Linked DNA regions of Caenorhabditis elegans. The protein of the gene in region 2 interacts with the protein of the main gene of each other region in a pairwise test. Each region holds a gene or a part of one and is shown on either strand. Other genes may lie near its edges.

Region 1 (6,428 bases), 2.4 Mb from region 2:
TGGCGGGAACTCAAATACTTTTTTCTAAAAATTTTGGCAGAAAATCAAAAATTGGTATTCCTGAATTGGTATTCGTTTTGAAAAATTTTGGTGAGAAATTTTTTTGAGCAATTTTCAACACACCTACACAAAAATCTAGAGCTCTAAACTCCTTCTAAAAAAATTATAACTTACAAATAATCACAATAATAATCAAAACTGCCGCAACCCGATACCGATGACGCATTGGCAAATAAGAATAGGAAAATTAATTTTTTTTGGAGGGAAATCTCCATTTCGATGCACTTGATGATTTTTCAGTGAGAGAAAGAGAATAAGATCTGGATATTCGATAAAAATTCTGGATCCACTGGGCTTTGAGACGTTCTTTCGCGTGAAAGATTGGCATCTTTGCCAGTGTATACGCGGTGAAAATCGGCACGGGATGGATATCTATAGCTGAATTTTTTTTGAAAAAAAAAATCGATGAATATTCAGTAGCGCGTGGAATTTTGAAATTAGGATTTTTTGGTAAATTTGTTTAAACAAATGATATTTGAATTTCAGTCAATTTTTACTGAAAAATAAAAATTATTTTCCTACCAAATCTTTTTTAGAAAAATTAGTTCTTGTTTTATAGGCACGTAAATATATGCATTTTCTAAATATAAGCTTCCGGTCAAGCTAGCATATTTTATTTGGTATTTTCTGGTGTATTTGTCCATGTAGAACAGTTTTATTTAAAAAAAAAAGAAGCGCTTCATATGATTTGGCGTACTTTTGATTTTTTGAAAAAATCATTTTTTGGTTATTTTCTGCAATTTTTAAAATATGTTCCGGATTAGCTAGCGTACTTTGTTTGGTATTTTTTGATAAATCCGATAATGCTGAACAGTTTCATAAAATAAAAAAGAAGCACTCCTATGATTTTGCCGTAGTTTTAAATTTTTGGAAAAAAAATTTTTAATTAATATTTGCAATTTTTTTAAAATAACCTTCCGATCAAACTAGCATACTTTCGGTATTTTCTGGTAAGATTGACCATGCTGAACAGTTTTGTCCGTAATTGATGAATTTCTGAAGATGAAAAAATATTTGCCCGTAATTTATAAACATCTAATAAAAAAAAATGTAAATCGTGTTGAAATAAAATTATCGGCAATTTAAGAAACAGGAAAACTTTTTTTTAAAGTCAAGTGACATTTATTTCTTGTAATCGCAATTTTTCTTTAAACTGCTGTGAGCTCATAGTTTTGTAGTAAAGATCTTTGTACTCCGGATCATTTAGCGGGCTATGCCATGCAAAAACCAAATCAGTTCCCTTCTCTTGGCCCAAATTTATCCGGTGAAGCTGTACTCTGCTCACATCAGTATCATCAGCCAGAACTCCAGTGATGAGGGTATCTTCGATCTGAAAGTGACCAAAATTAATGAAGACAATATCAAGTTGTTTTTAGCTAGTTCAAATGAAAAAAAAAACCGGAATTAACAGAATCAGCCAACTTTTTTGTTGGCTATTATTTCAGATAGGTAGCTAATTTAGTTAATTACCTTGTGAAAATTTCTATGTTTTGAAGCTTCTAGTAATCGTAAAGCAGCACTTCTTGTCACCAAGTAGAATGGACCAGCAAGATAGAAAGCGTACCTCGTGCATCCAAACGAAATCAGAGAATTTCGTCTGAAATTGTACTTTAAAAATCTGGAAAAAAAAACTTTTTTTTGTTTTAAAACTGTTTAATTTGGTTTAGGTGAACTTGCCGACTCCCAGCTCCCTAAATTTCGGCTGACGATTAAAAAAATCGGGTAATTGAAGAATTTGATACCTATTTAAACACGTAGTGTCAGGATGTCCCATTACGGTTTGATCTACAAAAATGCGGGAATTTTTTCTCCAAAAAAAAGTGACGTCAGCACGTTCTTAATCATTCGAAATGTCTGCGTCTAAGTTCTCGCGATTTTCGTAGATCTACGTAGATCAAACCGACATGGGAAATTTTGACACCACGTGTGTAAAATCAATCAAGTCTTGCGTAGAGCTTCATGACTCTTGAGTACTTTAGAGAAATCAGCACCTACCATGTGGTGAGCTACCTGGCCAGGACCACCTTTGAATTTCAGAGTTCACCGGGCTCACCTACCGTTTGCAGCAGTTGGACACAATCGGCACTCCAGCTTCGGCAATTTTTCCATAAACACTTGCACTTGTCACGTTAATCATAGAATTTTCGTTTTTTATAGTCGATAAGAATAAATTCGGAAAGAAGAGAACATCTCCGTCAATTTTTCCAATTAGCTGGGCTGACGGGACTTTGGAGACCCCGAAGAGAAGCAGCGTCAGGGTCTGTAATCATTAGTTAGAGGTTATTGGGTTGCAGAAGATAGAGCCAGTCTATAGAGCCAGTCTTGAAAGTTCCAAAAATTTTACCGCGAAATTCAAGTTCTGATTCCAACTTTGATCTACTACGAGACTTGGTCAGTATCCCAGCTTTAAACTAACTTTAAACGATAATTTGGAATACCGATCTTCCATAGATGTCACTACAATGTCCCCAAACAATTTTGCTTCCGCCATCACAACTTCTTTAATTTTTCCGTCCATATTAGCACCTAATCCAATCAGAAACAAGTATTTTATCTCATTTTCCTGACTCATCCACGTATGCCTTATAACATTTCTTCTAGAAAAGTCGTCAGGCCTCGATAGGACGATCAATAAGATTTCAGGAGAACCGCTTATTTTTGGAATATGGATCCATTTGAATGTGCTCTGGACGTCGGAAAATGAAATTTGATAAGAATTTCCATAATCGGCGGTTGAGTTTATTTGGGAGCCTGGAATTTCAGAACCATTTTGCACAAGTGTTAATCAATTGCGTTTTTTAAACGAAAATGTGTAAAGAATGTTATTGGAACTTTTCTGAGAGAATTGGCAATTTTTTTCTTAGAAATTGAGATTTATTTCCGATTCATTTTGATTTCATTCTTTCATAAAAACCCAAGTTTAAATAAATTTTTTATGTTTGGTCCCAAATTTTCAAAAAAAAATTCAAAATTGTCTGAAACTTGCTCAACGTTTTTTACTATTAGTTAAACAATATGAGCAAGCAACAATATGCTGTGAATTTTCTGAAAATTTCTGAAAAATCGAAGAAGTTTCATAAATTTTAGTACAAAATCTGTTTCGGTAAAACTAAAGTTGTTCGAAATTTGATTTTTATTAGAAAATTATATTTTCAAAGTAAATTTTGTGTGCTTTTAAATGAAAACAAATAACTGATTGTGAATTTGGAATATATTATATTATTAAAAATATTGGATTTTTTAAAGAATTTTAAAGAAAATTTAAACTTATTGAATACATTTAAAATCTCAGAATGCTGGCAAAAAAACTCACTTTCATACCATTCCCTCTGTAGACACATTTGATCTTCTTCAATTAAAAATTCCATGGTTCTCTGAGAATCTTAACATTTCAGCACAATTTTCAAATGTAAGAAATTCAAAAACTCACAATATCGGTAAGCAAGCAGTGAAGCCAGAATGGCTACGGTAATTAAAATTTTACGAGCTTTCATTAGTGGGAATTTAGCAATCAGATTTGAAACCGAAAACTCATGGATTCAAACAATTCAACAATGAAAAAGGAAACAAATTCACGTGTAAAGAGAGTGGGAGAGTGAGAGAGATGCAGAGAAAGTGCAAATACGAAAGGGGCAATGATAAAGAAGAGAGCAACTGATAAGAAAGTATTTTTCTCTAACTATCTATTTTTCTAACCTGAAGTCCAATTTGGTTCCTACAGTGCGCCCAACTGCTATGGGACACCCCCTAATTTCTGTGGTTTTAGGCATTTCTGAATTTTTTGCGGATTAATAATACTAGAGTTGGGTTCATCATACTAAAAAAGTCTGTAACTGCACTTTTATCATGATACCTCAAATATTAAGGTTCGTTCAAAATAAAATAGATAATTTCAAATGTTTGGTCGTTAGCAGATTTATTATCACGTATTTAAGTTGAGCAAAAAAACATTTTCAGAGAGAAAAAAATTGTTCATCATCTTCCGAGTCTTCCTGCGTTACATCAAGCTCTAGTTCTTCCTCTTCTTTGCCATTGGAGTCATCATCCAATTCTTCATCTCTCCCAATTATATCAAAAGAATCTTCATCGGATTCTTCAATTATTTTGTCTTCCACTAACTTTTCCGCTTCATCACTCATTCTGGGCTCATTCTCGGACTCTTCTAAGTCTTCATGCTCATCTCTGAATTTTTGATAGATAACTAGGTCCTTAACTGGAGCTTCTTTTGAGCTCAGCGATTCTCGAGCTTCCGATTTTTTGAAAGTTTCTGAGAGCCTTGGCTCAATTGAGGACTCTCCTTCCTGATCTTCATCGTCCAAGTCCTCGTCAGAACTATCTTCTTCTTCACCTTCCACGTAAGACTCGTCGTCATCATCCTCCTCTTCATCACCTCTGATCTCCAACTCCCCAAATTTAATGAGATCCTTGTTGGTCCCTTCTGAACTCTCCTTCCGACCTGAGATCCCACTCGAGCTGAACATCTGCTTCAGCTTTTCCGCCGTCTCGTTCAACAGTGCACAGGCACCAGTCGAAATATCGTCGACAGTCAAGTTTTCATTTTGAAGGAAACTGTTCATATTCCCTAGGCATTCTTCGAGAACTCTCAAGAGCTGAGATCTTTCGTGGAAATCCTTGTGTCTTACAACTTCATCGACCAGTTGGTCAAAATTTTCAATACAATTGTTTAAGGCTTCTGAGAGATTCGGATTCGGTGAGTCTTGCCCAAGTTCAGAATCGGAGGTTTCACTTTCATAATCTGTTTCGTCTTCAGAATCGGTTTCCGGCTCATTATTCTCAGCAATCTGAAAAAAAACATTGTCTTGTTAAATTTAAACACAAAAATAAAAGTCGGAAGTTTAAGACGGAACCCACATTCGAGACCGCAGGCTACTACTAATTCGGCATATGCCTTTTTTACGTGGTTTCAGGCTGTCACGTGGTGTCAGAGTGTCTCATTTCGGCTTGATCTACCCAGATCTACAAAAATGCGGGAGAAAAGACGCAGAGTTCTCAACTGATATAGCTTGGTTAGGAATGCGCTGACGTCACATTTTTGGACAAAAAATTCCAGCATTTTTGTAGATCAAACCGTAATGGTACAGTCCAGCACTACGTGGGCTGTCGCATCGCTCCACTTCACACGAAAGGCGGGAAAATATTATTTGAAAATTTGTGACGTCACAGCGTATTTCGAATAAAAGCGTCGATTTGTGTGAAATTTGTATATAAATAATATCTACCATTCATATAAATGGTAGATCAAAGCTGTTATAAGCTTAAAATTTAGCAAAAATTTGCACAAAAATTGCACAAACTCACGTTTTCTCCATACATTCGATTCCATCTCATGCACTCCGAGCATCCCAAATGTGCAACAAAAAGCGGCTCACGTTCATTGGACTCATCAAAAACGAAGGGACGAATGATATTGTTACTATCAATCACAATTGTAATCTTCTTTTGAGTTTCATTACAGTATTTTGTGAAGAATCGTGGACTAGATGGGGCAATGGGTCTAAAAATTACAATTTTATAAAGAATTTGGGGAAAAAACGGGTTTAAAACTCACTTGAAATAGTCTTCGTATCCCAGAGATTTGAAGAAAGATTGGAGAAACGAGAGCATTGTTGAATAAAAGAATAACCGACTTCACTGGGTAAGAGCTAATTAACTAAAGAACTAAATAACCATCTTTTTTAGGCATCTGGAAAAAAACGTATTACAGTCTAGGTCTCTCGTTACCCAGTGCTATTTCGACGCGCCTGTTGATCAAGTGTAGTTTGCGCGTCTGAAAAATCTTGTACAGGCGATCTAGGAAAAAGGAGGTCATCTGGGACCCATGTAGTGCAATATGACGTCACTTGGGTTTCTGGGAAGAAGGGTTAAAGGGAACAATATAATTGAGAAGAGAACGTATGTATGTATTAAGGAAACACAAAATGCTGAGAATGCGTATTGCACAACATATTTGACGCTCAAAATATCTCGTAGCGAAAACTACAGTAATTGATTACTGTTGTGCTCGTGTCGATTTACGGGCTTGATCGATACAGTAGTCATTTAACGAGTTACTGTAGTTTTCGCTACGAGATATTTTGCGCTTCAAATATGTTGTGCAATACGCATTTTCAGAATTTGCTGTTCCCCTAACAACTCATGTAAATATTGAATTATAGCTTTTGCAGATTTGAGAGACAAGTTTGGAAAAATGCTTGGCTCACCGTAAATTACTGTAACTTTGAAACCGTTGAAGGTTCAACAATGTGTCATATTAATACAATTTAGCTGTAATACATAATTTTTAGTAAAATTCCAGATTTTTTAAGTTATCACCGCTCAAAGTTACAAAAAAAAGTCATTTTTTCAAG
Region 2 (6,428 bases):
TCAGGTTAGTAGAACTTGAATTATATTCTTTTATAGGATATATTTTTAGGACATGCAACAATCAGAGAGATTTTGGAAGATAAAAGTTACGGTGACGACTATGATAGATCTGCTTCTGCTGGTGGTTTATCTATTGAACCAAGTAAGTTTTCAAGAACGTAGTGAATTACCTGACCAAGCGTACTAAGAATCATGCATTTTCTTCCACCGAACAATTTGGAATTACGCATTCTCGGTCTTTTTTTGTGATGGCTAGACCTAGATGTTCAGACTGATTATCATAAAGGTGCTCATCTAGTTAATGCAAATTTGTTCTGCCGTTTAAAAAAGTATGATCCGGTTAAAAAAGAGTCTCGCAAAATTTGAGTCAGTTTCAAAGAGAAACTATTTCCGAGAGGTGTTAGTATCATTCATAGCTTATGAAAAATAAATACATTTTAGACTTGTTCTCATTTGCCTGAATACTATGCACCCTTTTCAGGTCTGCGACGGAAAACATCAGTTTTGGTTCCTCTCATGAGTCGAGAAGATTTACATTTGGATCAATCTCCAACTACACCAGCTCCTCAATTCCTTCGACCTCCAAGCAGCCGAATGGCTTCAGCTGCGAATGTATAATAATTTCAATATTTTGTTGTTTTCCTGATACCGAATTAATTGTTGTTACAATTTCAAATATTTGCATGACATGAAATAATAATTATTAAAATAATAATAAAACCAACATAGAAAAAGGAAACAATGAGGTGGTTTGAGCAGGTAAGTAATGTGTCCGTTGGGACCCGATTTCTAGAAGTCAAAGTTTGGAAGTATTTAGATGGTTTGAGCAGGAAGGGAGGCAAGATGAGATTATGGTCTCTTGAATATAAAATATTGGAAAATTGGAAACTATTCTTCCAATTCAACTTCTGCTTTAACGGACGAGTTCACCGGTGATGCCAGACTCGTTTGTAATATCTGAAAACAAAAATTGTGAGATTGAAATTGTCTCTGGAACTTATTAGGGTCTTCCACAAAACCACCATAAGCTTAACAGTCACAAAGCACAAAAGAAATCCGCATATTTATTGACCTATTCTCCTTAGATAGACTAAACAAAATTTGTTGTGCATATTCCACATTTGGAAGAGTTTGAAATAAAATTCCCCGGGCTCAGGATTTAGGTTTTGAAAGTTGCCAATAACTAAGATATTCCTTTCATTGTTCTGCTTTTCAAAATAAAAATTACCTGTGGATCTGAAGGTTTCATATCATTTAGAATAAGTTCTTCCATTAACGAATCGACATTCACGAGACCGAACAAACGAGCAAGTTGGACATCTTCTACCTTTAAATTCATAAATTACTAATTTGAATAACAATTGTAACTAACCAATTGTTGAGCAATAGCCTGAAGTGATGGAAGTAATAACAAAAGCTTTCCACTTCTGCAATCCATTGATTCGTCTTCCATATTTTCAAGTGCCTTGTCAGTACACCTGAAATATATTACATTTGTTATAGAAGCTAGTATTGTCAAATAAACCTTCTCTGCAATGACCTCAAAAAAGCATATCGGGCGTTCTCCACCGGACTCTGATCGTTGATTTCTCTGACGACTGGATTGAAAAACAGAATAGCTTTCAGTGCAACATATTCAATTAAATCCATATTTAACCTCCTCATTGGATTCACAATTTCATCAATAATTCGTCCGACGACACAACTGAAATGACTGTACAAAACCTGAGAATACAGATATGAAATGAGAATATACTCACTTGATATCTCCCACTTGTGTTGCATGTTCTTTTGGAAGAAGTGTGTCATTTGCAAGGCAAATTGTATTTTCAACTGTCAGACAAATCGATCGATATGCTACTCCAAGTACAATTATTGACGCGGCACCGCCTTTGAGAAGAGCTGCCTGGAATTATGAAATTGTTGCTAGAAGTCGTCATTTTTTAAAAAAGAAAGTATGAAACAAGTAATTGCAGTATTTTCAGTATTAAACTCGCTACTATGACAGCTAAATAATATCTCTGTTGTTTTTGATTTTATCAAAAAAAAAATCATCTAACAAATATTTTTCTGAAATTTTTCATAGAAAAAAAATCATACCTGATCTGCTTGAGCCAAAAACGAGAATTGAGGTAATGACTTCGCCCATTCGATAAAAAGAACCAATTGTTGATGAATCGATTTTCCAATATCATCCAATGTGGCAGCTCTCGCATCTTCATAATTCCATTTAACTTTTCCACAGTCGTATGGTGCCTGTAAAACACGTGGATTCAATGTGATTATTGACTGAGATCAAGAGGTGAAACTAGAAAACAGATTTTTCTGGGGGCGGAAAAAGAACCACCAGGTACAAATTCCGGCATAATTAAACCGTGTTTCTTAAGTAAAGAAAATCAAGAACTTTCCAAATTGAAAGAAATCCCTCTTGACGAAATTTGAAGCACTGCGTTTAATCCCAATCAAACTTACAAGTGAAGATGTATTCTTGATTACACTGGACCTTAATTGCTGACATAATGTTTCTGCGGCAACAAGTTGATCTATCAAATCTTCTTTTTCAGCTCCCGTAGTCTTTTTCCGTTTTCCAATTGCATCCCGTTCATTTTGAATTGCTGAAATAGTACAGGCTATTTTTATAAAAAAGTATTGGAATGATCTCACCATTACTCTTCATTCCCGCTTTTACACATTTTTGAAGTCTACATGCTCGACATGCGTTCCGTTTATCTGAAATAAGAGGAAATATTACATATTTATTACATTGGAGGACCGACTTGCTTTTGGAAATTTCAGAAACCAACGGCCCAAAAACTTTAAAAACTATAAACATACTTTTGGTAACATCACAATTTTGTTCAAATCTGCATTGATAATGATATCGTTTGCGAATACTTCGTCGAAAGAATCCTTTACATCCATCACAACTGATTGCCCCGTAGTGTTTACCAGTTGATTTGTCGTTGCAAATATGACATATTTCTTCGACCATACTTTTTGTCTAAATATTTATGTAATTGTGCTCTATTAGATAATATGAATCAATAATAAAAAGTAGGAAGAAGCGGAATAGAATATTTGATGAGCAAGTTTAAATTCAAATTAGATGTCCAAAAACTAGATCTTACATAGATCTAAGCCTAGATAGGCCTACCTACGTGCCTACAAGGCAGCTTTGAAGACCACCTACTCATGAAAAGACATAATTTAATTTACAGAAATGCAGGAATAGGAAACCTAAAGCAAACCAGTGTGGCATGTTCTCTCGATATTTTTTATTTAAATTTGGTGACAGAATATATCGCATTTTTTGTTTTATTGGAAAATAACCTTTATTCGTCCGAAAAACTGTTCGAAAGTTGCAATTTGCCTAATTTTTTACCTCCATTTTCAAATTTCAGATACTATGAGAACTCCCTGGCTCATGTAGAATTACTGGTGGGCATATTCCGCGCGCCATTGGCCTGTAGGCACGTATGTCGGTATATATGTATATGCCAGGGTGGAAAACATAGAGATTTTTCAAATCTGAACATTTAATAAAGTATCTCAATTTCTAGTTGAAACTTTTCTAGAACAAAATTCTAGTTTAGTCTATCCTTCTTTGTACCCGACTTCATAAAAACTGATCTTCCTGATTTCAAATTGTCAATGATCCTTAAAACGTGTGTGAAGAACAAAAAAAGAGAGTATGAAGAAGCAGGAAAATGATTGGAAAAAGAAGAAAAAGAATACATTGTATTGGAGAGCGTATGATGGGTGTTTGATAAGAATGGCGGGAAGAAGGGGGCAAAGAAGTGACAAACATGTGAAAGAAACGACGAAAAGACAATTATAAAATGAGAGAGTGGGTAGAGAAAATGAGAAATTTATAGAAGGACTGATAAGGGTCTTGCAGAGATCGGGAATACAATATTGAAAGACGACTGTAATTTCTGGAATTTCAGTTTAAGAAAACGCAGCTCATTCGAAGTTCGAACGGGAGGGGTTGAGAATGATTTGGTTCATTTACAGGTTTTACAAATCCCGGGCTTCCGAACTCATGTCTAGAAATGGAAGAGCTGGTCGCGATGGATTTACGCAGTCTCTCGAGGAGAATAGGATTTTTCAATTTTCAGCTGAATTTTTCGAGCATTTTTGCTAAATTTTTTGAATTTAACATTAAAACTCGCCTGGTTGACTTATTTAGATAGATTCGGTTAAAATCAACGTAGTTAATGTCAAAAACTATCAAAAAAATGAATCTTTATAGTTTTTGTTTTTTGATGTTTGTTTTTTGATTTTGACAAACTGATTTTTACTTGAAATAATATGAATATGAAGAGTTATGGAAAACAACAGATATCTCAAAAATGTGATTTATTGTAATTTTAATAGCTTCTCACATTTTCCGTTCTTTCCGATGGTCACCTTGTACCGTACTTTACAAGCGAATGTATTGGACACTACTGCTACAGTAACCCTTTTTTGACTCCCATTCTGAAAAACCCGGCTTATGAACTGTCGGGTATTATTGCGCCGAAAATACGGTAGCCGGTCTCGGCACGACAAACTTTTGTTAAATTCTTATTTTTATAAATTTCCCATGAGATTGTGTTTTTCACTCGTGTATTTTCTCAGTTTCTCTGTTAATTTTTATCATTTTTTTTGTCGTGTCAAGACCCGGCACCGTATCTTTCGCTCAAAAATCGCAAACATTGTTTGAAAATCGCACGAAACACCGCGCTTCCCGTCAGAATGCAGAAAATAGGCGGCAGGTATGCAAGGCACGATCGCCTGTCCTGACGACATGCCTGCCTACCACTGAAGCCAAAAATGAAAACGGTTGACAATTTGATCTTCGAAAAATCGATTAAAATTCCTTTTCAGACGTAAAGTGAGAGTGACAACGAAAACAAACATGCGACACACAAATTTCAAAATACATTAAAAATCACCTGATTTATTATTTTTAAGGGAAGAGGCGGAATTGAGAAAAACGTACAGTTGCTAAGTTTTAATGTTTCATAGATCATACGGAAAACAATACGATCAGTGATCATCTGTGACATCTTAAATGGAACGGAATAATTGATAACATGATAAGTATCGATTATTTTTTATCGGTTACAGGATACTTTGTAGTCTTGTCTTTTTTAATCACTAAGCAAAGTATTTGACTTTTAACGGCAAGAATGAAAGCGAATGTCGCCGCTCCCATGTGGTCTAGTGGTTAGGATTCGTGGTTTTCACCCACGCGGCCCGGGTTCGATTCCCGGCATGGGAAGTCTATTTTTTTCAAATTTTTGTGTAATAAAAATTGTGAAATAGAAGGGTAGGTAAGAAAATAGTTAGAAAGAAATGAACGAAAACAAGAAGTCCGTTCGTGTGTGTATCTGTCTGCGTCTTGATACTCTTGACAGATACCTTGCAAAGATCTCATCTGGTTTACAACAACCTTGAGGAAGGAGAGCGGAGGTCCCGTTATCGCTCATAGATCGATTGAGCCAAAGAGAACTTGAGAGCTTTCGAGCATTCAAAAATTGAGTTGGCATTTAATTTATGATTTTGAATAAGAATACTACTCGCAAAAATTTTTTGGGATCTTGCTGAAATTGCAGGAATAAGCTGTGAAACAATTTTGAACAAATTTGAATTGGAGAAATTTCAAAAATTGAACATTTTAATTTTTTGAAATATGTAAATTTTCGAAAATCGAAAAACAGAATAAAAAATTAAATTTGAAAACTATTACTAAAAAACCGACATTGCAATTTATCGCAACATATCACACAGTTGCGAGAAACCAGAATTTTTTACAAAAAAGGTCTCGGAGCGAAGCGAAAGTTTTTGCACAGAGGTGTGGGCAATGTTAAGAGCAAGTTGAGAGATTAGAGCAATGTTTAGAGTACTGTAGCAGGGGTGCCTGGCAATTTCTCCAGTGTTCAACTTTCATACAATTTTTGAGCATTTTTAAATTATTACAAATAAAATAAATTCAGTAATTTTCACATAAAGCAAATAGTTTCTATATTTTATTTACTGAATTTCAATAAAAATATTTGCTCATTTCGTAAAATTGCTGGTCGGCAATTGCCGAGTACTGTAGATTTTATTTCTGTTTTTTGCAACTTTTCCCAAATTTCCACAGATTTTCCTTCAATACACATATTTTTTTAAACTTTTTCTTCGCGTCGAGAAATGATGCCAATTTTCGTATAATATCTTAATCTGAACTTTTGATCAGAAATGTGTCATGGTTTCGTTCCAAAAATTTCCAGAACCGTCTCCAGACAATATTTTACTTTCATATCAATTCAGAATTCTTACGAATTGAATCTTATAATAACCCATTATATAAATATGAGTCAGAAGGAAAAACGGGGAATGAAAAGAGGAAAAAGCTAATACAGACACACGTACACAGTCTCCCCGTTTATCAAGTTCAT

What was found.
Region 1: the proteins of nhr-69 (region 2) and F14B6.6 interact in a two-hybrid assay, tested with the Caenorhabditis elegans proteins (one large-scale study listed by BioGRID).

What each region holds. Positions count from the first base shown.
Region 1 is NC_003279.8:12,229,838-12,236,265, reverse strand, and holds F14B6.6 (Hexosyltransferase), read right to left. Parts: upstream 3,555-6,428; coding exon 3,491-3,554; intron 3,443-3,490; coding exon 3,374-3,442; intron 2,812-3,373; coding exon 2,477-2,811; intron 2,321-2,476; coding exon 2,118-2,320; intron 1,679-2,117; coding exon 1,531-1,678; intron 1,391-1,530; coding exon 1,172-1,390; 3' UTR 1,073-1,171; downstream 1-1,072. Other genes in the region: F14B6.4 (Hexosyltransferase), read right to left, coding at 175-226; F14B6.3 (uncharacterized protein), read right to left, coding at 4,014-4,862, 5,380-5,575, 5,630-5,685.
Region 2 is NC_003279.8:9,878,502-9,884,929, forward strand, and holds nhr-69 (Nuclear hormone receptor family member nhr-69), read right to left. Parts: upstream 3,004-6,428; 5' UTR 2,993-3,003; coding exon 2,836-2,992; intron 2,731-2,835; coding exon 2,665-2,730; intron 2,616-2,664; coding exon 2,473-2,615; intron 2,257-2,472; coding exon 2,101-2,256; intron 1,907-2,100; coding exon 1,761-1,906; intron 1,706-1,760; coding exon 1,526-1,705; intron 1,479-1,525; coding exon 1,373-1,478; intron 1,328-1,372; coding exon 1,229-1,327; intron 958-1,228; coding exon 889-957; 3' UTR 682-888; downstream 1-681. Other genes in the region: inx-20 (Innexin), read left to right, coding at 1-4, 50-142, 482-618. UniProt on the Caenorhabditis elegans protein: Orphan nuclear receptor which, in cooperation with R-SMAD daf-8, modulates the Insulin/IGF-1-like signaling (IIS) pathway, perhaps by regulating expression of the potassium channel exp-2, which in turn modulates the secretion of insulin-like peptide daf-28.